Linked DNA regions of Saccharomyces cerevisiae S288C. The gene in region 1 interacts genetically with each later gene. Each region holds a gene or a part of one and is shown in the gene's direction. Other genes may lie near its edges. The genes, in order: RGP1, COG8, INO4 and CCW12.

The links.
Region 2: mutations in RGP1 (region 1) and COG8 together harm fitness more than expected from each alone (negative genetic interaction), as found in Saccharomyces cerevisiae (5 studies listed by BioGRID).
Region 3: mutations in RGP1 (region 1) and INO4 together harm fitness more than expected from each alone (negative genetic interaction), as found in Saccharomyces cerevisiae (4 studies listed by BioGRID).
Region 4: mutations in RGP1 (region 1) and CCW12 together harm fitness more than expected from each alone (negative genetic interaction), as found in Saccharomyces cerevisiae (4 studies listed by BioGRID, with this or other methods).

What each region holds. Positions count from the first base shown.
Region 1 is NC_001136.10:724,082-733,113, forward strand, and holds RGP1 (Rgp1p), read left to right. Parts: upstream 1-4,177; coding exon 4,178-6,169; downstream 6,170-9,032. Other genes in the region: ATP-binding cassette glutathione S-conjugate transporter YCF1, read right to left, coding at 1-3,470; HPR1 (Hpr1p), read left to right, coding at 6,497-8,755. UniProt on the Saccharomyces cerevisiae protein: The RIC1-RGP1 complex acts as a guanine nucleotide exchange factor (GEF), which activates YPT6 by exchanging bound GDP for free GTP. It is thereby required for efficient fusion of endosome-derived vesicles with the Golgi.
Region 2 is NC_001145.3:126,224-134,636, reverse strand, and holds COG8 (Golgi transport complex subunit COG8), read left to right. Parts: upstream 1-3,064; coding exon 3,065-4,888; downstream 4,889-8,413. Other genes in the region: DAK1 (dihydroxyacetone kinase), read right to left, coding at 1-1,162; TCB3 (Tcb3p), read left to right, coding at 5,270-8,413. UniProt on the Saccharomyces cerevisiae protein: Acts as a component of the peripheral membrane COG complex that is involved in intra-Golgi protein trafficking.
Region 3 is NC_001147.6:108,078-115,235, reverse strand, and holds INO4 (Ino4p), read left to right. Parts: upstream 1-3,349; coding exon 3,350-3,805; downstream 3,806-7,158. Other genes in the region: WSC3 (Wsc3p), read left to right, coding at 1-1,098; YOL107W (uncharacterized protein), read right to left, coding at 2,106-3,134; ZEO1 (Zeo1p), read right to left, coding at 4,598-4,939; SHR5 (Shr5p), read right to left, coding at 5,347-6,060; MDY2 (Mdy2p), read left to right, coding at 6,340-6,978; Rab GTPase-activating protein MSB4, read right to left, coding at 7,048-7,158. UniProt on the Saccharomyces cerevisiae protein: Transcriptional activator of phospholipid synthetic genes (such as INO1, CHO1/PSS, CHO2/PEM1, OPI3/PEM2, etc.).
Region 4 is NC_001144.5:366,542-373,962, reverse strand, and holds CCW12 (Ccw12p), read left to right. Parts: upstream 1-3,864; coding exon 3,865-4,266; downstream 4,267-7,421. Other genes in the region: mitogen-activated protein kinase HOG1, read right to left, coding at 1,036-2,343; YLR112W (uncharacterized protein), read right to left, coding at 2,753-3,172; YLR111W (uncharacterized protein), read right to left, coding at 3,240-3,572; thioredoxin peroxidase AHP1, read right to left, coding at 4,652-5,182; YLR108C (uncharacterized protein), read left to right, coding at 5,839-7,296. UniProt on the Saccharomyces cerevisiae protein: Component of the cell wall. May play a role in the formation of a tightly packed outer mannan layer, which protects the inner glucan.

The sequences.
Region 1 (9,032 bases):
CATTGATTAATGTGGGAAAACCTTTTCTGTTGAGAATAACCTCTAACCGTTGCAAGGCCACCCAAAGTCTCTTGGAAATGAGAGTAGATTGGAGACCTAGTAATAGAGTCTAAACGACGCAACTCCCTTGATGTTCTCAGGTAATACTGCTGGTAGTAGATGTAAAACACACTTAGTGGAATGATAATGAAGATAAATTGCCATGTCGTCGCACAGATAACCGTAATAGTGAATGTGACTTTCACTGCATTGACGAAAAACTGAGAAAATGTTCTTCCTAATAAAGCATCCACTTTGTATATGTCATTTGAGAATCTGTTTAGAATTCTACCGATTGGTGTTGTTTCAAAAAACGTCATTGGGGCTCTCAACACAGAGTTTGTCATCAAGTTGTGTAAATATTTGGAGGCATGAATGGTACAAAAAACCCAGAGAACGATTGTCTGGATTAATGTTGCCAGTGCTGAACCAATACCAAGTGCAAAATAAATGGCCAAGTAACGCGCGGCATTTGGATTAGATCCATAGCGGCTATTAACTTCAGACCAATGTTTCAACCAAACGTTACCCATAACAGAGAGGAACATCGATATAACAATAAACAATATGAATACACAAACGCTTTTCGGGTTGCAAGCTTTAGCGTACTCTAGGTAAATGTTCCACTTTACTTTTCCCTGTTCACGATGCTCTCTTTTAGCAATATTTTCATCGTCACCAAAATCGATGCTTCCCAAAGTTGCATCACTGGCCCTCCTTAAACTTATGGCGTCAGAGTTGCCAAAATCCAAATCATTTAATTTCTGCAGTTGTTCCAGCTCTCCTTCTACAGGTATACTACTTTCTCGAACTGAGCTTTCAGAGGAGTCACCGAATTCATTCGACTTACCGTTATTTTTTTTACCATAGTTGTTGAGCAATTTCCATAATGGCGAATCAGCGTCCTTCGTAATCTCATCATATGTACCCTGCTGTGTGATTTCTCCATTATCTAATAATGCAATAGAATCTGCGATGGATAACGCGCTCACCTTATTAGTGGCTAATACCTTCGTTTTTGTATGTAATAAACCATTTGGACCCAACACATGTTCGATCAAGTGCCTGGCAACGTGTTCATCAACAGCTGCCAAAGGATCATCAAGTAAATAAGTGTCAGCTCTCGCATAAACTGCTCTTGCTAAAGACAAACGAGCTTTTTGTCCTCCAGATAAGGAGATCCCTTTCTCGCCAACTAATGTCTTATCTCCATCCATCAAAATTGCAAGATCAATAGTTAACGCACAGGCCTTGATCGTTTTTTCGTAAAATTCCGCGTCGTATCTATGCCCAAATAAAATGTTTTCCTTTACAGTACCATTCATTATCCATGGAACTTGTGAAACATAAGCAACAGAACCATGAACGGTGGCGAAACCTTTAACCCTGAATAGATCACCTAACATGCATGACAATAGAGCTGTTTTACCACTGCCAACTTTACCAACAATACAGGTCAAATTTCCTTTTTTAGCTTGGAAATTAATATTCTTTAAGGCTACTTTGTATTCCGGTTTCCGTTGCCATAAAAAGGTAGCATCATCTCCAATGTTAATGGCTACATCGCCAATATTTTTTACTTTTGGTAAACGCTGAACCGAATCTGGTTGTAGCTCTTCATTGGTAAAGAATGTAAATAATCTACCAATAGAAACAGAAGCTTCGATAAAAGAATTTAAAACCATAGGAATAATCATTAGTGGGAATGAGAGCAGGTTGAACAGAGTCAAAGCAGGGAAAACTAAGTCAGTAGTCAATGCTCTATCCTCAGTATAAACAAATACAGCAAAGGTACAACATGAAACAAGGAATGGTACTATATTGAACTGAAAACTTGTCACAGCCATATAACATCCTAGTTTTGTAAGATTTTTTAACTCTTTGTTATTTCTTACTTCTTCTAGCTTTTCCCTATAAGGCTTCTCCCATGCATATAACTTCAAAGATTTAATATTGTTTAGTATTTCACTTATAACACGGGTCCTTTCATCTTTGTACTTCATCTGGGATTTTTGCAACTTCTTTTGTATCCTCATCAAAAATGAGTTCAATGGCATCATAATAACTAGTATAATCACGCCAACCCACATGGAATTTCCCAACAACTTATACAGAGAATATAAGCAAATAATGATTTGAAAAGGCCCTGACCATATTAAATTTAGCCATTGTGTTAAATCTTGTAATTTTTGAACATCCACACTCATGAGATTGACAATGTCACCGGTAGAGGAAAGTCCAGAAGCCTCATTAGATAGCACTAAGGATTTTTGATATATTAAAGCCGTTAGGGCGCTCTTAATATACATGCCTGTGTTGAAGACATTCAGGAAATATTGATGCAGGACAGATGTCTGAGTAAAGCCCACCAGAAACATAGCAAACGCAATCAAAAACCCTCTTACAATGGGTAATTTTTGTGGGTGGTTATTTTCAAACCCTTGAAGAGAAGAATGGTCATCCTGTCTCTCACTGTTATAGTCTGTGACGAACTTGATTAAAATCCTTAGTAGTTGTGGTTGAGTAAATGCTAGAACATCATGAATTGCTTTAAAGAATGCGGCTAAAAGCATTTTAGATCCAAAAGTTCTGCATATAGCCCATGATAATGAAGGATTTGATTTTTGCTTCAACTCATTTTCCCAGTTTTTCTCCAATTTTTGAGAGAGTTCTTCACTACTAAAGTTCCTCGGTAATTTATATAAATCTGCTTCCACTAAGTATTTTTCATAGCCAGTTTTCATCAAACCTGACATCCAAGAGAAGGTAATCCTGGAAAATATGTTTGCGCTATCGTATGGATTTGGTTTTCTTCTTGTTAAAGTTTGATGTATGTGTTGATGTGGCATTAGCGGCTTCTTTGGAAGAGCTTCAAGTAACAGGATACTGGCACATGTTATTACTTGGAATAACGTTAGTATGAAACCCGTTTGTCCGGAATACCAAATGCCTTCGTAGGTGTGTCTAATTAGAATATTTATTAGTTTAGCAAAATTACCGAATGTTTCAAAAAGCCAATAGAATAAAAGTACCGTATTGGCTACAACTGATCTATCGTATTCTATCCAGTGTAAGGCTAAAGCAACAAATAAAGATAACATTGTAGAAGCATATTGACTTACAATGGTAAAGTTTTCCGCTTCTTCTTTAGAAATATTTAAAGACGCAAGTGAAACAAACGCTATCTCCAACAGAACTAGTGCCATCCTAGAGACAATAATCCAATTCCGCCTATATTTGATGCCAGAGTGTTTTTTCTTGCAAAGGTTAACTAAATCTCTGATACCGAAGGTTATCATGAAAATTGCTGATAGATTTAGGATCACACCGTCGATGAAGCATTGAGTAAAGTCACCGTAAAAGGATATAGGTCCAAACCCTTCAGGAGATCTACAGAGCTTGCAGGCCCATGAAACAAGATTACCAGCCATTTTCTTGTTCTTTACGGTAGTACGATACCCCTAATTTATTCTCAAACTGTTAATTGAAAAATTGTAGGTTGTAAACCAGCTTCCACATAGCAGATGATCACAAGAGGTTATCGCACCTTTTATAGCAGCTGCTAACTTTTTTCATCAATTTCGTAATTACTAAGCCGTAACCTTCCACCGCCCAAGCATCACACCAGGAGTTACATATTTTTGTATTATCATAAAGAAACACACGCCAAGATATCTACAGAAACCAGATGTTAGCATTAGATATATATATTCGTATTGATGCAGCATAACAAGCGTACTATGGATTGCAAAGTAATGTAGATTCCTGACCAGTAGATCTGCTCGCGCAAGAGAAACATTCATGAACTCTAACGACAATAACAGTAAATCCACCTCACGGAGAACGATAAAAGTCTTCATTTCTCCATGAGGTGGAAACGTTGTTTGAATATTAAACATAATACTTGAACTTCTTGTGTAATTTTTATTTTTTAATCGAAGTCTACTCCGAAGTCTCCTATAAAGCGTAAGGCGCGTCTCCAAAGTGCTATTTTTCAAGATCAATTCAGCTTCAAAGAAGCTTTGATACCTACGGGGCAATGCAAAGGCTGCCAGTCGAAACAAACAGCGAAAGCTAGCCCATAATTTCTTGAGCTGTTGATTTTGATTGTGATATTTTTCATACTTTAGAAGAAGATATGCGTGCGCACAGAATCGATACATTTCTCATAAGAGAAAACATCAAACTGGAGATCATACATGAATCGAATTCCTATTTTGGTGGAGAACATATATCAATTGCTTTCCGATTTAAGCACCTAGGCTCACAGCATGAATTGTTCAACTATAAAGAAAAGCTTCTCACTGTCGATAAAGCTGTTGAAGAGAAGTTGGAACAACAAGCGAAAGTGCAAGATGATGGTGAAGGCACGATGGAAAATCAAACCTGGTCCCTAAAATCATTACTAGGTGCCTTCAAAAGAACAGGCGAACCTGAAGAGAGTGTGGATGTGGATAACATGAAAATGCTAAATGAGAGTAAGATGTTAAGAGAAAAAATACAGAAGCAAATGTATTTTCATCAACCTGTAACGTTAATATCCGGTTATGTTCAAATATCGGGGGTCTTTCAATACGATTCAGAGGTAATTTCAGAGTCAAAATTTAAACAAGATGAAGTAAAAATGGTAGGACTAGATATTGTACCTGGACATACGACAAATTCTGTTCTTGCATTGGAAGATGGAGAACATTTCAAAGGTAAAAGAAATTTAACCAACTACCTCAACTCAGATTATACAAATGTGACCAATGGTCTTCTTTTCTCAGAAAGCGGTTCTAGGGGAAGAACAGGTACCTATAACGAACGGACCTTAATGATATCAAACGATACCAGTATAAAAACATTACCTCTTCTTTTAATACCACAGACGCTTTTATTTTCTGAAATTTCTTTAGAACCAGGTGAAGTAAGAACATTCTATTTTAAATCCACAAAGCTGCCAAAAGATATATGCCCAAGTTATTCATCGTCAAAAGTGGCATCAATAAATTACACGCTGGAGGTTGGTGCGGATGTACTTTCTGATGATAATATCGAGAAATTTTCAAATAGAGTCCCAATAACAATAGCACCATATATTAGTTCGAATGCCGAACAGTACACATCACGTCTGGATAAGCCTGCTATCATATTAAAGACAGGTAACATAAAGGAACTAAAGCCACGTTTGTTTACTCGAAAAGTTTCTACGGCTTCTGCTGTATCATTTGGTAGGAGAAAATCTTCTATAATTGACATTGATTCTCCATTAGAAGATAATGAATTTGTCAAGCGTGTCAAAAAAAACTTCATTGAACTGGTGGAATCTAACCAAAATGTGTCAAGAGATATAGACGAACTTATTGACTTGCAAATGGGGGTACAGTTCGGAAAGGATGAGGATTCTTCGGATCCTGAACCCAACGACTCACACTTTTCGAACGAAATGGTGACGTCTGCAGAGTCTAGCCTGAGAAGCGATGCTGTAACTAAGAGGAGAAAAAGTTATTCGGTACGCGATAACATTTCTAACCTCGAGCAAAAGATGTGGAACGATTGTTCTCTCGTTAAGTCAGATGAGAATTCTAATCTTCTACCTCAGCTAATTAATTTACAGAACGCATATCAAATTAACAGAAATAATGAGACTATGGCAAAAGTATCCTTATCAGCACCTTTTTATAAGACAACTGATGATATAAATTTAGTCATTGAATTAGATCCGATAACGACGCCTTTACTTAAAGTGACTTCGTTGACTGTATCCTTAGAATCGTTTGAAATTATAAATCCAAAATATAAGACTGAAGGAAAAGGAATAGGGAGCAAACCAAAAGGAAACTCGGTGTATGAGAAACATTTTATTTGTTTCGATGAGTGCAAGTCCGTATCGGTGAAATTACTTCCTCCAAGATCGCCTACAAACCAGATTACCGGACAATTCAAGACAGATGTTTTTCAACATAAGTGGATGATAGGACTAAAATTTGTAATAATTGCAAAGACAGAAAGTATCACTTTGGATCAATTTTATGAGGATAAAAAGGGCATCCTATTCCATTCAAAAGAGAATTTAGAAGGTGAAGAGTTTACATGTTACGTTCCCATTCCAATACTGTGTACATCCGAAGATTTCATGGGATGGTAAGCAATAAATGGGTGCAGTTTACTCGTATAATTGGTTTTGCATTTGAATCCAATCCAGTAAAGAGGATTTACTATACTCTCTTCATAAAGGGTATGTACAGATACATTTATAAGTTAGTTAACCGGCTTTATTGTCGTAATAGTCATCTCTTGATGTCATGGGTTGCTGTCCGTGCGATTTCAAGACTGCTCATTTCGCACGATGCATATTGCTTCTCTAATGACATTTTTCGTTAGAATGATCAGGTTTTTGCCATAGCTTGATCAGTAAATTAATAGATGATTTTAACAATTCAAGAGGCATTAAAACTTGGGCAAAGGAGTAATAATGTCTAATACCGAGGAATTGATCCAAAACTCAATAGGTTTTCTCCAGAAAACTTTTAAAGCACTCCCAGTTTCGTTTGACTCCATTCGACATGAACCACTTCCATCTTCAATGTTGCATGCAAGTGTTCTCAATTTTGAATGGGAACCGCTCGAAAAAAATATTTCGGCAATTCATGATAGAGATTCTTTGATTGACATTATACTTAAAAGATTCATTATAGATTCAATGACAAATGCTATTGAAGACGAAGAAGAAAATAATCTTGAAAAAGGGTTACTAAATTCGTGTATAGGTCTCGATTTTGTGTATAACTCAAGATTTAATAGATCTAATCCAGCTAGCTGGGGAAATACCTTTTTCGAGTTATTTTCCACCATCATTGATTTGCTAAACTCACCATCTACGTTTTTGAAGTTTTGGCCCTATGCTGAATCACGTATCGAATGGTTCAAAATGAATACATCTGTTGAGCCAGTATCATTGGGGGAGAGCAATTTGATTAGTTACAAACAGCCTTTATACGAAAAGCTGCGCCACTGGAACGATATTTTAGCTAAATTAGAGAATAATGACATCCTTAATACCGTCAAACATTATAATATGAAATACAAACTAGAGAACTTTTTATCCGAGCTACTACCTATAAATGAAGAATCGAACTTCAATAGATCCGCTTCTATTTCAGCTTTACAAGAATCTGATAACGAATGGAACAGATCAGCACGTGAACGAGAAAGCAACCGCAGTTCCGACGTTATATTTGCTGCAGATTATAACTTCGTGTTTTATCATCTAATTATTTGCCCGATCGAATTTGCTTTTAGCGATTTAGAATATAAAAATGATGTGGACAGATCATTAAGTCCCCTTCTTGATGCAATCTTGGAAATCGAAGAGAACTTTTACAGCAAAATCAAGATGAACAATAGGACTAGATATTCCTTAGAGGAAGCTCTGAACACTGAGTATTACGCGAATTACGATGTTATGACCCCTAAATTACCCGTGTATATGAAGCATTCAAACGCAATGAAAATGGACAGGAATGAATTTTGGGCGAATCTACAGAATATTAAAGAATCAGATGACTACACTCTTCGACCTACCATTATGGATATCTCTTTGAGCAATACGACCTGCCTTTATAAACAATTGACTCAAGAGGACGATGATTACTACCGCAAACAGTTCATTTTACAACTATGTTTCACAACAAATCTTATACGCAATTTAATTTCTTCTGATGAAACGAGGAATTTCTATAAAAGCTGCTATTTGAGGGAAAACCCGTTGAGCGATATTGATTTTGAGAACCTTGATGAAGTTAACAAAAAGCGTGGGCTCAATTTATGTTCATACATTTGCGACAATCGTGTTTTGAAATTTTATAAAATTAAAGACCCTGACTTTTATCGTGTTATCCGCAAATTAATGTCTTCTGACGAAAAGTTTACAACCGCCAAGATCGATGGCTTTAAAGAATTCCAAAACTTCAGAATATCTAAGGAGAAGATACCGCCACCCGCTTTTGACGAAACTTTTAAAAAGTTTACGTTCATCAAGATGGGGAATAAATTGATTAATAATGTTTGGAAAATACCTACTGGTCTAGATAAAATTGAGCAAGAAGTAAAGAAGCCTGAAGGTGTCTATGAAGCAGCCCAAGCGAAATGGGAATCAAAAATTTCTTCTGAAACTTCCGGTGGAGAAGCGAAAGATGAAATAATCAGACAATGGCAAACTTTACGGTTTCTAAGATCGCGATACTTGTTCGATTTTGATAAAGTTAACGAAAAGACTGGTGTTGATGGTTTGTTCGAGGAACCCAGAAAAGTGGAAGCGTTGGATGATAGTTTCAAAGAGAAACTTTTGTACAAAATCAATCAAGAGCACAGGAAAAAACTTCAGGATGCTAGGGAGTACAAGATTGGAAAGGAAAGAAAGAAGAGGGCACTGGAAGAAGAGGCTTCGTTTCCTGAAAGAGAGCAAAAAATTAAGTCGCAACGTATAAACAGCGCTTCTCAAACAGAAGGAGATGAGTTGAAGAGCGAACAGACGCAACCAAAGGGAGAAATATCAGAAGAGAATACCAAAATAAAAAGCTCGGAAGTTTCTTCGCAAGATCCTGACAGTGGTGTTGCCGGGGAGTTTGCTCCACAGAATACAACAGCTCAACTAGAAAATCCAAAAACAGAAGATAACAATGCAGCTACTTCGAACATTTCTAATGGTTCATCTACCCAAGATATGAAATAAATTATCCTCTTAATAGAAATTTTAAACTGATAAGAAATTCATGCATAGTGTCCCAAACAATTCAGATAGATTTTAGCGTACCACAGAGATCCTATCAGAGAGTAATACTTATGATGAAAACAAAAGTCAATCCATTCGGTTTAAAAAAATGACAAACCTATATTTGATTAGATTAATCAGGCGTCAATAACGTCCTTAGAAGTCCCTTTGCTAAGACTGATATCGTTGGCAAAAGCATGCTCCGAGTTTAGTATATACTTCCACTTGATAAAGTTGT
Region 2 (8,413 bases), on another chromosome or scaffold:
ACTTGTCAAAGTCATAGGTACCGACGGCCTTTGCTGTTACTTCATTATGTAACAAGTCATCGTTAACAGATGGGGCAGAAGTCTTTTCAAAATCTGCAATTGGCCAGCCCGGTGCGTTCGTAAATGCGTTCAACAAGTCTAGTACTGATTTGATCTCCTCAAAATCAGATTGCAAAGCCTTTGTAGCCTTAGTGGCGTTTAGTAATGTGATACTGAACCCATTACCATTGAAGGAGGTCATCAATGTGCCAGCAATTGTTTGAACCGGGGTTATGTTGTAATTTTCCTTTAAGAAATCCGTAGTTTTGGAAGTGATAGAACTAATAACAAAATTAGAAACACCGCCGAGATTGTTAACTAACAAGACAACTTCATCATCTTCATCAAACTTTACAAAAGCTCTATCCTTATCGTTTGGATCCAATAGTTTTGGTAGCATATACTTGGAGATCAAGTCTTCGGTAGAAGGAATAGGGTCTAAAACTTTCACACCAGGTTCGTTATGAATACCCATACCCAATTCCATTTGTTTTTCGTTTAATTCACTTTCGAATTTCCTGCCAGGAACTTTACAATGGTCTAAAGAAGATCCAATGGTCACCAAATTGTCGTTGATAATTTTAGCCACTTTAGCTGTACCGTCTAAGCCATACTTACTAGAATATTCTTCTGCGAAGGCACCTACAATCTTATGAACCAAAACGGTACCTGCCAATGCTCTTCTACCAACCATACCACCCTTTTCTCTGCCAACTGCAACATCATCACCTATGACAGCAACGCGGCAGTTAATACCCAAGGCTCTTGCTCTCTCAGCGGACAGACCAAAATGCAAAACATCACCTGTGTAGTTCTTCACAATCAATAAAACGCCAGACGCATTTTCATTGACTAAACGGATTGCATTTAAAATCTGTTTTGTTGAAGGGGATGCAAAAATTTCGCCAACCACGGCGCCACTCAACATACCCTTACCAATGAAACCGGCGTGTGTAGGTTCATGTCCACTACCACCACCAGAAATTAATGCGATCTTGTCGGAATCGGTCTTTCTGAAGAGAATTTTTTCTTCAGGGACCAGCGTAATGGAGGGGTTAGCAAGGGCAAACCCTTTGAGACTTGAATTGACTGGATCTGTGACTTCAAACGATTTAGCGGACATTTAAAATTTAGTCTTAGATATAGAATGTAATCTTATTCTTTGATGTGTTCGTTTACAGTTGCTACAAATAGTGACTACTTGTAGCGAAGTTGAAGTGATTTTCTCCTTATATATTTATTCATCAGTTAGTTCGACAGACGCTCGCGAGGTGGCCACTCTTTCAAAATGACGCAATTGGGAGTGGTTTGATCTTTCTCCCTTAGAAGCCAAATTGGCAAGCACTCACTCCGGGCCAGATTTACACCATGTTTGTAGCGCATTTAAATCAGGAAATGCATTATATTTCACTCTCTCGTCTAGCGAGTCTTAATGTTCATGACGGGGGAGCTTTATGCCTTGTTTTTTATCACAGCGCCAGACAATTGACAGTAACAAATAAAGGCAAAAAACCCTTGAATAGCACCAGAGGTGTTTACTGATTGCTTTTAAAGTACGTATAAAACTGTAAAATATAGATTAAATTCGACCGCCATTACTTTAGAGTTGAAATTGGGAAGCCGTATATTGCCATTTCAGCCATGCTTCTATGGTTCCTAATGGAAGCATGAATGACATACGCAATTTGATGAGCTTGAAAAGGGCGTAATTGACAAGCCAGATTTGAATCTAATCCCTTGAGAAATTATCTGCAAGTAGTAAAAAAATCTCTAAAAGATGTATAATTGAGTCGCCTAGAGACCTCATTCATCATGATATTTGACACCTTAATTTTGATAGTAGCGGGTCAGTCATTAAGAAGAAAGTGAGCTGGGGCTAATCATCAACGATCTCCCATAATTACGTACGTCAAAGACAACACGTTGGCAAAGGTAAGAAGAACGTAGTGCGTATCATGCTTACGGTGAATTTCACCCTTTTTTTCTGTTATTCGTGCTGATCCACGGGGTATTCAATTGAAGATATTATCTTTATCATCATATCGGTAAGCGTCTGGGAGAAGCAACTGGTCAAACGTTTTCAAAAACCATTCTTTAAACAACAAACCGATCAATGTTCTTGATCAGCTTATCAATCTATCCGATCTCCTGCGTTCAGCGTGACCGCCACACTTATGTCTAGATAATTTAACTTCCAGTTGCTAATTTCCCGCTAAAGTATCTTATGTTTACCATCACTGTAGCCGCCCTATCATATGCAACACTTCCATACTCATTTTCGGAATAAGAAGCAACTATCATCTAACGACTAGTATTTATATTACTGGTATATTACCATATTGGGTATAAGACGGTCAAATAAATATTGAGAAACAGTCACCAATTTTAATGGAAATTGAAATGAAAGGGTTGATAATGTGCTAGGAAAATGAACGAGAACATACAAAATGAAAGAAGAAATAATAATATTCCTACACAGAAATATCGGTTCTCTATTGTGGATTTTCATATTCTCGAGGAGAACCTCTAGTACATTTTGTGTATCTGGTATCACAGCGCTTGACAACTATAGAATTTAAACAATTATCTCATTCTTCATCCATCACTCAATCATATATATTAACCCCGGAAAAGTGCATTTTTGGTTTCTAATAACATTTGTATTAGTAATATTTGTTTACCCAACAATTCAAGAAATTTAGCTCGCGTGGCGTAATGGCAACGCGTCTGACTTCTAATCAGAAGATTATGGGTTCGACCCCCATCGTGAGTGCTTTGTTTCTTCTTTTTTGAATATGCTAATTCTAAATTTATAGGAAGAGTTGGATTTTCCTTTAGTTAGTTGTACTCTTGAAGTCCATTTTCTTTTTATACGTACATTAGATCGATCTCGCGATCATGGCTTCAATGTCTAAAAATATAGCGTAGTAACATACTGAAAAGAGAAGCACAGAAAAAATAATCATAGAAGTGTTAGGACATTTGAGGGAACATATTTCAACAATAAACATAATCATTGAGTAAAATGGAGCTGATACTAAACAGCCTCATTTCTGATGATTTAACAGAGGAACAAAAACGGTTAAGTCTTGATTTCCTACAGGATATCCTACAATCTAACACGAAAGACTATGAAAGTTATTTTTCATCTAGGGCTGTTCCTGGTAGCATAACTGAAGACATAGCAGAAATTGATGCTGAATTATCTGCCCTTGATAGAAAGATAAGGAAAACACTACTAGATAATACGTCTCAGATTATCGGAAATATTCTTGAAAACGATGATAGGGCTCAATTGGATGATATAGCCAAGTCTTTGGAGCAATTATGGGAATTGGATACTAATATTAATAAGGCAGCCGATCGAAACGTTACAAATGACGATATAAACAATGAAAGCGTTTCTATTGATGACTTTTTGGAAGACGATAAAGAAGACAACGACACAGGTCGCATCATGACGACTGAGAGTAACAATCTGGCAAGAAAGAAGAAGGAGGATGAGTTTCACAAGGCATTAAGTAGGTTAAGAAACAGAATTTCAACTAAAGAAGATGACAAGGACGACATTAGATCTGACACATTAGTCACTGTACTAGAAAATTTGGATAGCATTACGGATTTGATGGAACTACCATTTTTGGCCCGCACATGTATCAGAACAGGTCATTACCAGGAGGCCGTCATGCTATACACACACACTACTTCCCTGAGGTCAAGATTCCCTGGTTCAACCATTGTGGATGAAGTTTGCGAAAAAGTTTTAAACGAAATTAGTACTACCATGTTATCCGGGCTGGTAAAATTACTGTCTACTAATGTATCAGTAAACTCACTAAAGAAAATACTACAGTACTTGAATTCAATTCCACCATTTGATGGAAAGACTAATAAATCATTATTAAGTGTGTTTTTAGCCATGAGATACAAATTCATTACCGATGAAATAGCATCATATCCTTTGGACGTTGAGTCTTCTAATGAATCTTTAATTGAAATGATGGTTAAGAGGAAAATTGAAGTCCTCAGGGAACATGTCTACATGTCCTTGAATGTCTTTCTGAAAAGCTTCTTGTATGATACAAATGACTTAGAGATTCCTTTCCCAGAGGAACTAGAAAGTACTGTGCTAAGGATAAATGGGACTAACGAAGAGAAAGAAATTGAAGAAAAGGAGAAAGAAACAAAGAAGGAAGAATATCAAAAACAAGATAGCGTAGCGAACAATGAAGAAGATGTGACAGAAAATAAATCGATAGAAGATGTACAAGAGGAAGTACAAGGCAAAGTGGAAGGCGAAGATGATGGAGCAGAAAGGAAAACAGAAAATGAGATAGAAAATGAAACAGTAAACAAAACAGAAGACAAGGCTGAAAAAGAAAAAGAGGAAGAAGTAAATACCAAAGATAACAAGGCAGAAAAAGAGGAAGAAGAAATTAATAAGGTTGAGGTGACCCCAGAAGAGCCAAGCAAAAGCATAGATAACAAGGCAGAAAAAGAAGAAGAAGAAATTAATAAGGTTGAAGTGACCCCAGAGGAGCCAAGCAAAAAGATTCGGACTTCAAAAAGGGAAAACAAAATACCTACAAATGCAGTCATGTTGCAATTCGTTGATAAGTGCATAACATACGTATTAAAAGACCTCACTCGTGGGTTAAATAGCATCAAGCTGAGTGACTCCGTTTGCCTGCAGTTGGTGTACTGTTCATTCCGTCTTTGCGACCTGAATCGAAACTACCACCACCTCTTCCTAAAAAAAATCAATGACACTAGCTTGTTTACGACCGAGCAGCTCGCCCGGGCAATTGACAAGAGAGCAGAACTGGCCTCTAAATATATATACTCCTAGTATAATATTGGCTCACTATGTATTTTCAAAATGACGATCGTCCGAAATTTCCATTTTTTTATTTTTTTTTTTCACTTCTTCGCCAGCGCGAGAAGGGGGAGAAACAACAATACGAGAATGTATGTATACCTTTACAACACACTGCTGCAGTCAGAAAGGGAAAAAGGGATAATTGTACCTTACATCCTTTAGAATTGCACTTACCTTTTCCAATTGCGATACATTTCACTTTGATAGACAACTTTGCTTTTTAGCGTTACTTAATTTAATCAGTTTTCTTCTTAACAATATAAAGAGCATCATTAGCTAGCTTTGTTTATTGACATACGCAATATTGCTAGAAAGAAAATAAGTAGAGCTACGCATTGAAAGTCAAGAAAAATGACTGGCATCAAAGCTCAAGTCCATCCCCCACCTGATAGTACCCTATTTCATGAGGAGGAGAAGAAGAAAGTAGGAGGCAATTTACCTCAAAAGGTCATAAATCAACAAGAAAGGGGTTCTGATCACGCTCCATCGGGTCACCATCAATACCACCAACTGATTAACCATGACGCAAATGACACAAAGACCTCAAATTCAGTTTCTGATGTGTCTAAAGGTCAGAAAACTGCTGACTCCAACCCGGAAGGTAAGAAACAGTCATCAAAAGACATATTTGTTGCCTCCAGCGCTCAAAAAACCAATCAATTGCCCGGTCCCAACCCACAGGGAAGCATAGGAGCCGTGCCATTGGAAGGTTTACGTCCGAAGGAATTCAGATCAGCACCATCTAGGAAGCCAAATAAATTCGACACTTCGATTACTAAGCCTGGCGTCTTAGACGACTTAGGCAAACTTGATGAAAAGGATATTAAGGAAAAATTTCACCTAGATTCCGACGACAAGTTATTTCCATGGCAAAATGTTGGTGAGTTCCATGCTTCAGGAAAGGGTTCGCCAAATACAAAGATGTCCAGGGTTATAAAAGCTTACATTCTGGAAAATTTTTATAACGATTGGTACTGTAATATAGCCACCGTTCTTGGAACTTGTTTCTTCTCATGGTTATTTGCTTACATTGGGTTTTCATGGTGGTCTATGATATTTATCTTCTTGGGAACTGCGACCGTTTACAACGCAGAATATACAAGATTCAACAGAAATATCAGAGATGACTTGAAAAGAGTTACAGTCGAAGAAACCTTGTCGGATCGCGTTGAATCCACTACGTGGTTGAATTCATTTTTATCAAAATTTTGGGTGATTTACATGCCAGTTTTATCTCAACAAGTCAAAGATAACGTTAACCCTCAACTGGCAGGTGTTGCTCCAGGTTACGGTATCGATGCGTTAGCTATCGATGAATTCACTCTGGGCTCTAAAGCTCCCACCATAAAAGGTATTAAATCGTACACCAAGACTGGTAAAAACACTGTTGAAATGGATTGGTCATTTGCATTCACCCCAAGCGATGTCTCGGATATGACAGCTACTGAAGCTAGGGAGAAGATCAATCCAAAAATATCTCTGGGTGTCACGTTAGGAAAAAGTTTTGTCTCTAAAACAATGCCTATTTTGGTTGAAGACATTAACGTTGCTGGTAAAATGCGTATTAAAGTTGAATTTGGTAAAGCTTTCCCAAATATCAAAATTGTTTCTTTACAACTTTTAGAACCACCTTTGATTGATTTCGCACTGAAACCAATTGGTGGTGATACTTTAGGTCTTGATGTTATGTCATTCTTGCCTGGTTTGAAGAGTTTTGTTAAAAACATTATCAACTCCAATATAGGGCCTATGCTATTCCCTCCGAACCATTTGGATATTAATGTTGAAGACATTATGGCTGCTCAATCAAAAGAAGCTATTGGTGTCCTTGCCGTAACCATTGCTTCTGCCGACTCTTTGAAAGGCTCAGATTTCATTACCAATACTGTCGATCCTTATATTGTTATGACTACCGAAGATGCTGTGCCTGGTACAGATGAAGAAGTGCGTACATCTATCAAATCAAATGTTAAAAATCCACGTTGGAACGAAACCAAATATCTATTATTAAACACCTTAGAGCAAAAGTTAAACTTAAAGTGCTTTGACTTCAATGATGTAAGAAAAGATACCGTAATTGGTGATCTTCAACTTGACTTGGCAGATTTACTACAAAACCCTGTTTTGGATAATCAAACTGCTGAATTAAGATCCGGTACAAAATCAAAAGGTATTTTACATTATTCCTTACACTGGTTCCCTGTGAAAGAAGATAAATCAGAGGAAAAAGCAGTTGAGCGTGCCGAAGCTAAGGCCAAGGGCAAGAAAGAAGATGAAAACGAGGACACTACTGAAAAAGAAGAAGACGAGAATGAAGAAAGTTCTCAAACTGATGTCGGGATTGCCAAGATCACTTTACAAAAGGTCAAATATCTGGATACAACCAGTTCTATGACCGGTAGCTTGAGCCCATGTGCTGAATTATTCATTGATGGACAAAAAGTAAAGAGCTATAGAACTTTGAGACGTATCAATGAGCCATCTTGGAATGAGACCATCGAAGTTTTGGTTCCATCAAAATCTAACTCTAAGTTTGTCCTAAAAATATTCGATGACAGAATGAATGGTAAGGCGCTGATCTGTGAGTATTCATCTTCTTTAGATGATATAATGACTACTTTAGACACTGCTCAAGAGTTTGTTAAAGGCTCACCACAAGGTGACATTTATTTGGATGTTTCTTGGAAATCAATTGAAATGACCGGAGCTTTTGCCGCTGCAAACTCTGTAAGCGAACCTATTGGTTGTATTAAGCTAGACGTTAAGGATGCCATTATCAAGGGTGACTTATCCGGTGTAGGGGATGTTGATCCATATTACACCGTATCGTTGAATAGACGTGTTCTTTACAAGTCCATATATCATTCTGATACGGATCATCCCATTTTTGACAACAGCACCTACGTTCCTATCTTCTCTCCAAATCAAATTTTGACTCTCGAATTTCATGATTATCAAAAGATCGGCAAAGACCGTTTCATTGGCTCTGTACAAATTCCTACATCAAATGTTTTCAAAAAAGATCCTAAATCAGGAAAATATGTTGGGAATAATGGCAAAGAAGAAATTTCAAAACTAAAATTAAAAGACCACGAACACAAAGTTACCGAAAGCATTGTCAATGTTTCAACAACATTTATCCCAATCAATCTGGTGTATTCCCCTGAGGAGTTGGTGAATGTTGAGAAACTAGAAAAGGAGTTGAAGGAAAAGAAGAAAAAATTCGAAGCTACCCAAGAAGAAAACGAGCAAGAGATGGAAAAAAATCCAAAGGAATGGGAAGTTGCCGAGATCGAAGACCCATTTGACAGCGATGAAAAAAAAATAAACAGGAAGGCCAAGTTATCTTTAAACGAGTTGATCAAGCAAAAATCTGGTATTTTGTCTATGCAAATATTGGAAGGGACTTTGAGCCCATCCTCTGCTTACCTAGAAATCTTAGCGGATGACATTTCGTACCCTGTATTCATTTGCATGAAACCATCTCAAGGTAAA
Region 3 (7,158 bases), on another chromosome or scaffold:
ACCTCTTCCTCGACTTCCTCTACTACCTCTTCTACCACCTCTTCTACCACCTCTTCTACCACCTCTTCTACTACCTCTTCCTCGACTTCCTCTACTACCTCTTCTACCACCTCTTCTACCACCTCTTCTACCACCTCTTCTACCACCTCTTCTACTACCTCTTCTACTACCTCCTCTACTACCTCCTCTACTACCTCTATCTTTTCTGTTACGTCTAGCTCCTCATCCATTACATTGTCCTCATCTGAGCATACCACAGTCGATAGCCGTACTTCTTCACCCTCTTCCACCTTGGTGCCAGTGTCCTCGAGTAGCAGCACACTATCAACTCCAAAAGTGACCTCAATGACCCCTAGTACGTCATCAACGATACCAATAGTTACCTCAGTGGAACTAGTGACTAGTGTGGTTACAAAAGCGATCGTGAGTACTTCTGATCAACATCAGGAAACAATATTTGTTACGAGGACATCCGTGGTTGAACGATCTTCTGAGGTAGCTACTGCTACTGCTGCCGCCTCAAATAATAGATCTAATTCGACTTCGAAGCAGCGTCTGAGTGGTGGAGCCATTGCCGGTATTGTTATTGGTGTTGTGTTTGGCGTAATTTTTATTATTTTGATTCTATTGTTCCTGATATGGAGGAGACGGAAATCGCACGACCAATTAGACTTGGAGGAAACGAAACATTATCAGCCCTATTCGTTCGGTGATGAGGATGCAAATCCAATAGGACCGCCTCCCTCCTCTGGTACGACAAATTGGATGAGACATTCAAGGGGTAATACAGCGGGTTCTATCGGTACAAGTAATATGTATGGTTTTTCTATGAGTAATGGTGCAAATTATAGTAGTCCTAGTTCAAACACCAGTGGAAGCATCATAAACAACTTGGCTGGCTTACAAGATGCTACGGTTCAGAAACAGAACCTTCCATCGACAGTTTTTGAAGAGGCAAATACTTTGAATAGTGCAAATGAAAGGTTCAGTGCCAATTCTTTACCCGACATGATGATGAGCGGACCATTGCAAGTGGTAAACCCTGATAATCCTGATAATCCTGAATTATCTAGTACCGTATCTCATAATCGAGCCTGAAAAACTCGCATAAACTCTCAACATTAATGGTAATCAACTGGTTCTGCTGGACGGAGCCATTCTAAATCATTAACTTTATAATATCATGTTTTATACCCTAATATTTAAACAATTTACTGCTTTTGGCACTTCAACTGTTAGAAAAAGAACAATAATATTTAGTATTTAGTTTCATTTTTAAATTTTCTGATTCACTTCATTTGCAGCTTCTAATGATGTTTGTGGTACAAAAATATAAACAATTTTAAAATATTAAAAAAAAATGCTTCCAATCGGATTTGAACCGATGATCTCCACATTACTAGTGTGGCGCCTTACCAACTTGGCCATAGAAGCTAAATCTCTGAAAGCTGCGCTCTTCAAAGGCGAACCAAGCAAGATAAATTAATATTATTATGTAAAACTATCGTTTTCCTTTTGTTGATTCCTATATCCCGGAGAAGAACTACTAATTATCAAATTATTCACCAAATGATCAAATTTAGCAGCGTAGTGAGTGCCACTATGTAGATGTTGGAATAAAAACCAACTATCGTCTATCAACTAGTAGTCATACTATCAATATATTATCATATACGGTGTTAGATAGTGACATAAGTTATTATAGAAGCTGTCACCGAAGTTAGAGGAAGCTGAAATGCAAGGATCGATAATGTAATAGGATAATGAAACATATGAAATGGAATGAGGAATAATCGTAATATTGGTACATAGAAATATAGATTCCATTATGGGGATTCCTATATCATCGAGGAGAACTTCTAGTACATTCTGTATACCTAATATTATAGCCTTTATCAACGATGGAATCCCAACAATTATTTCAAAATTCACCCATTTCTCAGTAGAATTATTAATATTGGGGAATATATGGGTTTCTATGGTTCGATAGTACTGGCGCACATTCAGCATACAAATCCTACTACCTTGGTAAAGACCGAAATGCCAACAGCCGTCATTAAATCACGATATAATAGAGCATATTTCAAGTTATATAGATCCATATATCAAGGGTTTACCATACGCTCTTCCAAAACTTGTAAAGCTAACTGTCTTCGTCTTTCTTCTACAGTCATAATTTTTTTGGCGCCTCTACTTTCTGCGATGGTGTTCCCAATATCTATATCAATATCATGAAAAGGTTTAATGACTTTAAATTTTACAACAACTACATTATAAATGAAATTGAAAATCGGCCTCAAAATCGGCTTAATTAGATCAGGAAAGAAGTAAATCAATTGAAAAGTATCAGATGCATCGCCGACCAATATTTCCTGACCACCTTGAGAATTAGTTGTTGGCAAAGAGGGACAATTCAAGGGTGCAAGTTTCTGGAAAAACCTCAAGTACGACCAACTGGCAAAAAAGGTAACCCAAATGGAGAACAATTGAGCAAAATGATGAAACCATATTATTTGGGTTACCGTCATTGTAAACATTACAAAAATGGGTAGTAATTTGAACCTAAAGTTTTTGGCCAAAAATTGAGGTGTCTTCAGATGGATTATAGTTGTTTCAGGCAATAACTGTCTATAAATGATAGGGAAACCGATTAAAATTGTGTAGTTCCCGTCTAAGGGAATATCCAGCCTTACCTTATTAGAGAAAAAAGATACTAACAAAGTCAGCATGATGATCAGAACGTTTGTAAGAGAACCTAAAACTATGATAAATTTGAACATTTCTTTGGAAGAGTTCCAATTGCGTTCAATGAAGGATCCACCAATGATCAAATTCAATAAGTTCACTACCACCTTCCAAGCTTTAGTGTCGATGAAGTTGGATAGAACTAATGAGGTGGGGTACCTCCAAATCTGCGAAGGTACCATTTGCAAAAGCGGCGAAGTAATCAAGTTGTAGTCCAAGTTAGGGTCTTCAAGAACTAGCTTGTTGTACAAGGATCTCCTTATACAGAAAAGGGTTGCAGTTAAGCATATATAAGTGACTGTAATAAATTTAGTAGCATCAGGAATCTTATTGATATTTAAAAATGAATCCGGGATATTCAATTCTAGGAACCTCGAACTATATTGCATTATAGTGAACAAATATCTTTGTTATAAATAGATTAGTCGTCTTCTTTTTCTTGGCTTGGTTTGTATGAGCTTGTTACGTATCAAACAAAATATTCACATGTTTTTCTCACCTTAAAGACAGAGGCGCGATTGCGTTTGCGAAATTCCAATGCCAACAAGATAAGCTTGACGAAGGAGTTAAGAGGGCGGCTTGAACTAAAAAGAGAAAAGCAATAATGACGAACGATATTAAGGAGATACAAACAATACAGCCGGGATTGTCCGAGATTAAGGAGATAAAGGGTGAACTGGCTAATGTGAAGAAAAGGAAACGCAGGTCTAAGAAGATTAATAAATTGACTGATGGTCAAATACGTATAAATCATGTTTCGTCTGAAAAAAAAAGGAGAGAATTGGAAAGAGCTATATTTGACGAACTGGTAGCAGTAGTACCTGACCTGCAACCCCAGGAAAGTCGGTCAGAACTAATCATATACCTGAAAAGCTTGAGTTACTTAAGTTGGTTGTATGAAAGGAATGAAAAGCTGAGAAAACAAATCATAGCTAAGCATGAGGCAAAAACCGGCAGCAGCAGCAGCAGCGATCCCGTACAAGAACAAAATGGAAACATTCGGGATTTAGTACCGAAGGAGTTAATTTGGGAGCTGGGTGATGGACAGAGTGGTCAGTGATTCAAGGAGTAGGGTAAAGTAAGTAATATAAGCGAAGAAATTCTTCCCATACCTTTTCTTCACTTTGCAGAGGGGAGTGGTGCATATCCCACAAAGAAAAGTAGCAACAACAATGATATATATACGTTACTACTAATGCTTTCCTTCATCGAAAGTGTGCCGAAGTATTTATTTAATCTTTTAGTGTTCAACTTACTATAATGTGATACTTTTTCAATATTGTTTGCCGTTGAAGCGATAGTGCTTTATGTCATTTTATCTTTCTTTTACATTGTTTTATTTTAGAGCTAAAATTGAACATCAGTTTGCAAGAAGTCAGTTGGTTGGCCTTTGCTATTAAGAGACCATAATGTTATAGTGATTGAGATCAGTTTCACCAACTAATAACAATTAACCCGGGCGGTTAGTGTAGTGGTTATCATCCCACCCTTCCAAGGTGGGGACACGGGTTCGATTCTCGTACCGCTCATATTTTTACTTTCTTATCAAACTTTTTTTCCTCCGGGACGTGAAATAACCGCCGAGGTTATTCTCGGAGCATTCTTTTTTGTGGCTTTTGATCATCCATCATCATCATCATCATCATTATTACTACTACTACTACTACTACTATTATTATTATTATTATTATTATTATTAGTATTATTATTATTATATTGATTAGTTATTAGATAGATACAATTAAGAAAAATTTATGTAAAAGGTCAGAATAAACAGCATTTTTCTCCTCTTTTTTTATTTTTAAAAAAAGAAAAAGAAACTTCTAGTAAAGTGCAGCACATTCAAGTGTGATTAGTTGAAAATGGAAGCAATTTTACGGTTCAATTTCTTCAAGAAACCGCCTTCCTTCTTGGTTTCCTTCTTCTCACTGACGGCGGCGGAAGCTTGCTTCTTAGTTTCTTCAACTTTGTTGGCAGCTTCGGTCTTCTTTTGTTCGACACCATCAGCAATGTTTTGTTCTTCCTTCTTCACCTGTTCAGCTTCTGGAGTAGCTTCATTTTTTAGGTTGTCGATAGAAGCTTCAGCTTGTTCCTTTACTTCTTGGCCCTTGTTTTGCAAAGATTCTTTGGTTTCTTCCAACTTTTGTTGGACATCTTGGGCGGCAGTTTCAGCTTTGTTTTGAATTTCAGACATTATTAATTGATATAAACGTAGTTTTGTATGTTTCTTTGATTTGAACTTTTAAGTATACAGAGAAAAAAACCGATCAAAGAAAACTAAAGTATAATGAGGTTAAAAACGAAAGTAATAAAGTAGAAAGGCTATCAAGCAAACTGAGATGATCTTCGACGTAAAAACTCGCTCTATATATATACGCCATATAAGCCCATCGGCGATGGGGGACAACACGAAGAAACAAGAGAAGAGGAGAACCGCACAGAAAGCAGCAGAAACAGAGCAAACCAGCATTAACTAAAGATGATAAAAATAAAATTAGGTAAGAAACCTTAATTGGATATACAAAAATACACTGGAGGCACAAATCGCCATCGATATAAAACACGATAAAGCCCTGGTGCACCCATAAACCACACGTTTAACTATTTGGGTCGGGGCACGACGAAATCTAGGGATAGGCACCCGGACCGTCGGGGCAATACTAGGCGCACACCGCGCTCGTGAAGCAGACCTCCCGGCGAGTTTAGCTGCGCCACGTACTGCTCTAACGCGAGAGACTCCTGAAACACAGGTCTAGAAAGAAGGGGCCCCAAAACCCAGCTCCACAGACCGCCCGTAAGCATATCGAGCAACAGGCCACTTAAGTTACGCCACCCGAACACCTCACCTTCTTCACGCAGCAAGAATCCGTTTACCCGGTGCACAACCTCCGCGAGCTCTGCCGCACTAAGATATTCTGACAGAGGCGAGACGGAGGAGCAGCCAAACACGTGATCCCCAATGTCGTAACGCCCGCACCGCACAAAGCTAGTGCCATCGTCGCCCACGATTGCCGCCGGCTCGCTACCGGGAAGCTGTGTACTAAATTGTGGCGTTTCAAGGCTGCTGCGAGACTCATCGAACCGCCGGGGCACTCGTACCACCCGGGTCACCTGGAACTCGGCAGAGCCCCGAGCAGCATACACATTCGGGAAATGTGTAATACACAATTTGTGGTCTTCGTCGTGCTCTGTGGGTTTAGCGTCTTCGGAACCGAGGTCTTCGTAGAATGAATACGAAAACTCATGGTAATTAAAAAATAACGCCCTTTCGCTCGTATTTGCGTTATCTTCTTCCTTTTGATGGCTATCGCACATCTAGTAAGGGTTAGATTGAGTATTGTCCTCTAATGTAACTTTTTCCTCTTATTCCTCTCCTCCCCTTAGCTATTATATATCTTTTTTACCGAATCTTGAATTAGGAATAGTTTTAAAATCAGGCCGGAGGCCGAGCTTGCGACAACTACGACCAAAAAAAACAAAGGAAAAACGAAAAGAAGAAAACATGCACAGGAGAACATAGTTGGAGAAAAGGGTTAGAACAGACCGATACAGAGATAAACTAGCGAAGAATAATAACTTTATACAAAATTAATCATGAGCACATCCGCCAGCGGTCCAGAACACGAGTTCGTTAGTAAATTCTTGACCTTAGCCACTTTAACTGAACCGAAGCTACCAAAAAGCTATACTAAACCTCTGAAGGATGTTACCAATTTGGGTGTCCCGTTGCCTACTTTGAAGTATAAATATAAGCAGAATCGTGCCAAGAAGTTAAAACTGCACCAAGATCAGCAAGGTCAAGACAACGCCGCCGTCCACTTAACCTTAAAGAAAATTCAAGCTCCCAAGTTCTCCATCGAGCATGATTTCAGCCCATCAGATACTATCTTACAAATAAAACAGCACTTGATCAGCGAGGAAAAGGCCTCCCACATAAGCGAGATAAAACTGCTTTTGAAGGGCAAAGTCCTCCACGATAACCTGTTCTTATCGGATTTGAAGGTCACGCCTGCCAATTCCACAATCACAGTCATGATTAAGCCGAATCCGACTATATCTAAGGAACCCGAAGCCGAGAAATCCACTAACTCCCCTGCTCCTGCTCCTCCACAGGAACTCACTGTGCCCTGGGATGATATCGAGGCTCTTCTGAAGAACAATTTCGAGAACGATCAGGCTGCGGTTAGGCAAGTCATGGAGCGTCTACAAAAAGGCTGGTCTCTGGCCAAATAAGATTAGTATAGTTAGTACGTACATACTTGTTATTTTACACAGTTGCGCTTTTTATCACGGTTGCGCTTACTATTTTCTTCTTTCCTTTGGGCGGCTACTCGCCCTTTGTCTATTTCTCGCCATCGCCACATACTCTCTACCGCGATCAATCTTTTCCTGGGTAATACCATTCAACGCAAC
Region 4 (7,421 bases), on another chromosome or scaffold:
ATGTAAGAATTGATAATGTAATGGAATATATGAGCTGCTGTACAAAGCGAAAGAAGAAATAGTGCTATGATTAAGTAAAATTATTGATACCTTTTGCAGAGTCTTATCTTCTTGAGGACTACTCGTAGGTTATTCTGTATACTTATAACCTCTAATAACGCTAAGAAATTGTCTCCATATCAACCTATTTCTCAAAACTCAATAAACTAAGATCCGTAGTTCTGTATAGTACTGAAAGTGTTCCTATTTTGGTGTCGTATGTTGCCATTCATTATTTTTAATAAATGCATTCCCACATCCACGAAATTGAAGACTTTTTGAAATTTGTTCTATTAGACATATGGTTTATATCTTCACTGTTTATAATAAATAGCTCCGTTAGAATTAATGAATGAGAGCATAAATACAAAAAATAGAAAAGATTTTGATATTACATAGAGCTGCTGATTCCTTTTATGAGTTCCTAATTTCTTAAGGAGAAGTTTCTGCCACAGTCCGTGAATGTAATAGTTATCTTCAACAAGAATGAGATTGCAAAAGACTAAATGTGGTAAGTATACGCTTGTCTGGGTGAGACAGCTATTTAGCAAGTTCTCTTTTTCTGCTTCAACTGTTCTATTTTCTGTATTTACTTTTTTTTTATATTTTCTCCGTATTTATGAAAATTCCTCTTCGGTAAAAGCACAGAATTAGACTTGAAATGTAAACAATATAAGACAGACAAACCTTTATCGAAGATAGAAGTGCTGATAAACAAACAATACGCCATAAGTGACGGTTCTTGGAGTCTTAAAAAGGTCTTTCTTGACTTTTTAGTTTCCTTTTTCTTCCAGTTTTACAAGAAAATCCAATGCGGTTAAAACAGAAAAAAATCATGATCGAAATACGTCCACTTTACTTTGTAATTGAGTTTTATCTTTTTTTTTTTGTTTCCTCTATACAACTATATACGTAAATACTTTTATGAGTACCATAAAAAAAAGAAACATCAAAAAGAAGTAAGAATGAGTGGTTAGGGACATTAAAAAAACACGTTTACTGTTGGAACTCATTAGCGTACTGTATGGCCTGGTTACCGTAGTCCGTAATGGTGTCATTTGCAGCTACATGATCGCTGACTTTGTTTCCACCAGCTATATCTGAGTGATCATTTCCAGTAGTGCCAGCGCCATTATGCGAATGCGCAGCCATGTTTAACTGAACTTGAGCCTGAGCCTGAGCCTGTGCCTGCGCCGCGGCAGCGGTGGCTGCAGCAACTTGGTCATCAAACGTGGCAGATATATCAATCTGTCCATCACTGCCACCAATCTTATGGAAGTCTAGGATTTCTGAGTACATCATAACACGCCAGGTATCGACAGGCAGATCAGCGTCATTAAAGTGCCAATCGAACTTGGCATCGGCTACTGGTTCATCCGTTGGATCGTGGTAAGGAGCCGAATAAGGATGAGCCAAGGCATCCGCCGCAGTGATTCTCTTCTTAGGATCAAAAACCAGCATTTTTTCCAAAAGGTCTACGGCATCAGGTTCGACTGTTTTAAATCTTTCAGAAAATGGAATTGGATCTCTGTGTGGTAACGAAGTAACAAATTTTAGAGTATTTTCGGAACAAATAGTATTTATCACATCCTTTGGCGGAGATCCCAACAAGTCAGTGATGATCGAAAATTGGTGAACATGATCTTTCCCAGGGAACAAAGGCTTACCTTCAATCATTTCGGCAAAAATACAACCAGCGGACCAAATGTCGACCTCGACGTCATATTTTTGCCACGTTAGCATGATTTCAGGTGCCCTGTAGTATCTAGTGGAAACATAGCCTGTCATTTGAGGGTCTTGAATTCTTGCTAGACCGAAATCGCAAATCTTCAAATCACAGTTTTCATTAATCAGAATGTTGCTCGGTTTCAAATCTCTATGAATGACGCCCGCGGAGTGAACGTATTTTAAACCCCTTAGAATTTGGTATAGGAAATACTGAACAAATTGCTTTTCCAAGGGTCTTGTTTGCAAGAGTCTATGTAAATCTGTTCCTTGTAATTCCGTGACAAAATATATATCTTCCAATGGAGAAAGAAATATGTCCTGAAGGCAAATCAAGTTCTCGTGTCTTAGATGTTTTAGTAGTTTTAGTTCACGATATGTCCTTTTGGCCAGCACTGCAGTGGAAAAAGGTTTCATGATTTTCTTAATGGCAACTGGCTGAGATGTCAAAGTGTCCGTGGCTGAGCAAACCAACCCAAATGCCCCCATCCCAACGGGGTTTAAATCATTGTATCTATTTGTGATCTCGAAAACTGTACCGAATATCTGTGTCCTAATGAATTCCTCGTTAGTGGTCATTATTATATACGATAGTTGTAGTTTTCCCTGTTTTCCCTTTGTTCCTTTTTTTCGAGTCTAGTATTTACCAATATAGAAGAAAGAGAAAATAAATAAGGTTTCTTGTTAGAGATTAGTTACTTTTGCTATTATTATCGCAAATTCCTCTTCCACTATACAAACAAGAAAGTAATTACTACTCTTATTGTAAGATAGTATGATAATTTCGACGATAGATAATATTTGCTTTTCGTTGGCCTTTTCTTTTTTTTTTTCCTTCCTTCCCTTCGAAGATCCTCCCGTATAATAACGCCGCCAGACCATGTAGGGTAACCAGAGAATACGCCCACTCCGCTTTCGCATGTGGCACTCCTGTATGTCAAAATGCCGAATAATCTCCATCCATGACGAAGCGCTTTGAGGTGTTTAATTATATACAGGGCAAAGTCTTGGAGATAAAGAACGCTTTCCTAACAACTTGCGCTATTCCTCTTATTTCCTTCAATCGATTAAAATTAACTTTTAATCGACATTGTCTTTTAAACCAGGGCAAAGCAAAATAAAAGAAACTTAATACGTTATGCCGTAATGAAGGGCTACCAAAAACGATAATCTCAACTGTAAACAGGTACAATGCGGACCCTTTTGCCACAAAACATACATCATTCATTGCCGGAAAAAGAAAGAAGTGAAGACAGCAGTGCAGCCAGCCATGTTGCGCCAATCTAATTATAGATGCTGGTGCCCTGAGGATGTATCTGGAGCCAGCCATGGCATCATGCGCTACCGCCGGATGTAAAATCCGACACGCAAAAGAAAACCTTCGAGGTTGCGCACTTCGCCCACCCATGAACCACACGGTTAGTCCAAAAGGGGCAGTTCAGATTCCAGATGCGGGAATTAGCTTGCTGCCACCCTCACCTCACTAACGCTGCGGTGTGCGGATACTTCATGCTATTTATAGACGCGCGTGTCGGAATCAGCACGCGCAAGAACCAAATGGGAAAATCGGAATGGGTCCAGAACTGCTTTGAGTGCTGGCTATTGGCGTCTGATTTCCGTTTTGGGAATCCTTTGCCGCGCGCCCCTCTCAAAACTCCGCACAAGTCCCAGAAAGCGGGAAAGAAATAAAACGCCACCAAAAAAAAAAAAATAAAAGCCAATCCTCGAAGCGTGGGTGGTAGGCCCTGGATTATCCCGTACAAGTATTTCTCAGGAGTAAAAAAACCGTTTGTTTTGGAATTCCCCATTTCGCGGCCACCTACGCCGCTATCTTTGCAACAACTATCTGCGATAACTCAGCAAATTTTGCATATTCGTGTTGCAGTATTGCGATAATGGGAGTCTTACTTCCAACATAACGGCAGAAAGAAATGTGAGAAAATTTTGCATCCTTTGCCTCCGTTCAAGTATATAAAGTCGGCATGCTTGATAATCTTTCTTTCCATCCTACATTGTTCTAATTATTCTTATTCTCCTTTATTCTTTCCTAACATACCAAGAAATTAATCTTCTGTCATTCGCTTAAACACTATATCAATAATGCAATTTTCTACTGTCGCTTCTATCGCCGCTGTCGCCGCTGTCGCTTCTGCCGCTGCTAACGTTACCACTGCTACTGTCAGCCAAGAATCTACCACTTTGGTCACCATCACTTCTTGTGAAGACCACGTCTGTTCTGAAACTGTCTCCCCAGCTTTGGTTTCCACCGCTACCGTCACCGTCGATGACGTTATCACTCAATACACCACCTGGTGCCCATTGACCACTGAAGCCCCAAAGAACGGTACTTCTACTGCTGCTCCAGTTACCTCTACTGAAGCTCCAAAGAACACCACCTCTGCTGCTCCAACTCACTCTGTCACCTCTTACACTGGTGCTGCTGCTAAGGCTTTGCCAGCTGCTGGTGCTTTGTTGGCTGGTGCCGCTGCTTTGTTGTTGTAAACTTAGTTTATTATTATTTATACATTCTAAATTTTTTATAAACTTTTTTGGCATTTAACAAATATATAACAATTGGGATTTAGTAGAAATTCTTTTAATTTCTTCTTTTTTTTTTTAATCTATATTTATTCTTTTTCTTTAATTTTGTTCGAAACGCATATAATGTTTTTATTGATTTTGTTTCAGGTTCCTGAACCTCGCGGAGTTCCTATTTTACTGTTGTTTTTTTTCAAAACACAGGGGTACCTTGAAGTATACGCAGTGCCTCTTAGCCAAGGATAATATAAACACACTAGAACAAAAAAAAAATACTCCTTGTACAGAATCGTTTTCTATTTTGAATTTTTTTTATATAAACATGGTTTTATTGTCTATTACATAGCATCTACAAATGAGCCAAGACACTTTCGACTGAGGAAACGGTCACATCGGTACCTGGGTTGGTTTCCTTGGCAGCGTAAGTAACGATACCGTTTTCAACAACCATGGCCCATCTACCACTCCAGTAAACACCGTCACCGACGGCTAATTCGAAACCAATGGATTTGGTGAAAGCACAGCCTGGGTCGGAGGCAAACTTGATGTGTGTGGTGTCCTTAACACCTAAACTCTTAGCCCACGCTTGGTTAGCGAACGGGTTGTCAACAGTAACAACGATCACTTGGTCAACTTCCTTTTCCTTAACTAATTCATCCAAGTAGTTGATGTAACCTGGAATATGGCTGACAGTACAGGTTGGGGAGAAAGCAGCTGGAGCACCGGTAATGATAACCTTCTTGTTTTCAGAAATTAATTTGGACCATTCAACTGTTTGTGGCATCTTACAAGATTCACTGTCAGCATCACTTTGGCTGATAGCAATGTATTGGAATTTGTAGTCGCCAGCTGGGAATTTCTTGTTAACTAAGTCAGACATGTTTTGTTGTGGTTATTGGTAGTACTTGTGTTGTTCTGGTTTGTTGAAATTTCGTTATAAAGAAACGGTATATGCACAATTGGCAAGGGAGAGGAAATTGTGCTCCTTTATATAATGTTTCGTTTATGCTTTTCCCTTACATCTCGTCCTTAATTTTCCACCCCTTTATTTTTCATTTAACCTCTCAACAATATGTGAATACCGTCCGGAAGGGGTGTGGAAAAAGAAAAAGAATGATACAGAAGAAAATCAAAAGATGATATTCAACTTCATCACCAAATACTGACCTTTTTGGCCAGAGCTCCCCGTATAATTACAAATCAGAAAAAATCCGCGCTCACTACCTTAACGGAAGGAAATATTCCACATGTCGGATTAATTTTTCTCTGGTCCCATGACCATGTGCCGAAATCTTTTCAGTGACGTCAGGACCGGTTTTTCCGAGAGCCCCACAGGGGACGCCGATGATTTAGGGTTCTTTTCTTGATTACTAATAGACAACATAAGCGCAATAGATCGAGGCCAAGGTGGTGGTTTATAAATTGTATTACCTTAAAGGCTCATTATTAGCTTGAACACGAATATCCAAAGAACACGAACAACTTCAGGACGTGGATAGACAAGTGTAAAGTCACTCACACGCACGCTCATATCAGATGTCTGGCCAAAAGGGCGAGATCGTGGTTTATACAAAAGAGTTAGAAACTACCCCCGAGCTTTTACCAAACCATGAAGTTTTCAAGATTAGGATTGGCCAAAAGCTATTTGAGATCTCAGGTGCTACATTGAATTCGGATGCGCCCAATTTTTTCACCCAATTCTTCAATACGCACGATAAAAATACGATTCTATTTGTTGATAGATCGGAAGACGTGTTCATCATAATATACAGACATTTACAAGGTTATTTTCCCGATATTAAGAACGAAGTACAATTTACCTGTCTTTTCGCGGACGCATTATATTTTCAGTTACCCAAGTTAGTTAAACTCATAAAAGAATACGACTACCACTTCACTAATATTGGAGGTGTTCCCTTTAAGGTACCAAAATCATTATTCCATGAAGAAGGGAACCGGTTGAACTATTTTGAAACGATTTCTCGCATATCTTATGAGGAAATTGAGAAGTGGGAGTCAAATAAGAAGCCGGGCTTTCCACCTTTATTACCACCCTCATATATTGCAAGGTCCCCAGAATTTTTCCGAGATATATTATCTTTACTGGGCGGTTCCAAATTAGAACTGTCTGAGGAAAGAACCGCATCTCTGATAAAAGAGTGTCGTTATTACCGTCTCAACAGGTTGGAGCAGGAATTAGTGCGGGCAAAAATTATATATAATCCCTTAACTAATTGTCAAGAAGTTTGCATAGCTCTTGATAGCGTCTCCAAGAAGGGTGTAACCATTGAAAGGTTAACATCACTTCATACCGGAAACCAATCTTTAGCGGTAAGCAGTTGTCTCAATGGAACTGAGGGTGAAAAAGCCGCTACTGGATTTCATAAAACCGAGACTGATTCAGGCAACAATGATGAATATGAACCTCCAACAAAAAAGGTAAAACATTGTATTGAAAGACACTGGAGCATGTTAAAATACCAAAGGCCTTATATCGATACAGTTTCGCACGATCTTATTTTCCAATTACACTCTAACCAGTGCAAAATAATATTCAACAAAAAGAATAAGACTGTTCATGTAGACCTATCCAGAGAGGCTGCAGTGTTGTTTGAAAACAAGTTCTCGGATGTTTTATTGGAAAACCCAGATTTTAAAATTGATCTGTCCGAATATAAGGTCAAACTTCGTGACAGTCAAATGCAAGTTGAATCCCACTTAATTATTCCTGCATGTGTCTCCATTTGTGACTTGACGGTAAATGGCGCAAAATGCTGTAATATTTTCTCATTAGTTAACGACTCCAAATGTAAAGGGAGGGTCTTGGATTGCACCAATTTGAAAGTTTTGAATTGCGTTCATGGTTTGAAACTACACTTATCGAAATCCATGTGGAAGCTAGGTACAAATAATGGAAGAATCATTCTCGTTGCTGTAAAAGCCGAAACCTTCTCTGGGACGAAGGAATATTGCAAAATGATTGATTTTCTGTGAAATCTTCAATAAAAAAACCTTTCTCTTCTGTTTGACATATATAATTTAAATGGATCGTTCAGAGTATGATCGTACCATTGCATAGCTGTAACAATATTCACATTCATAAAGCACATAAGTACTAA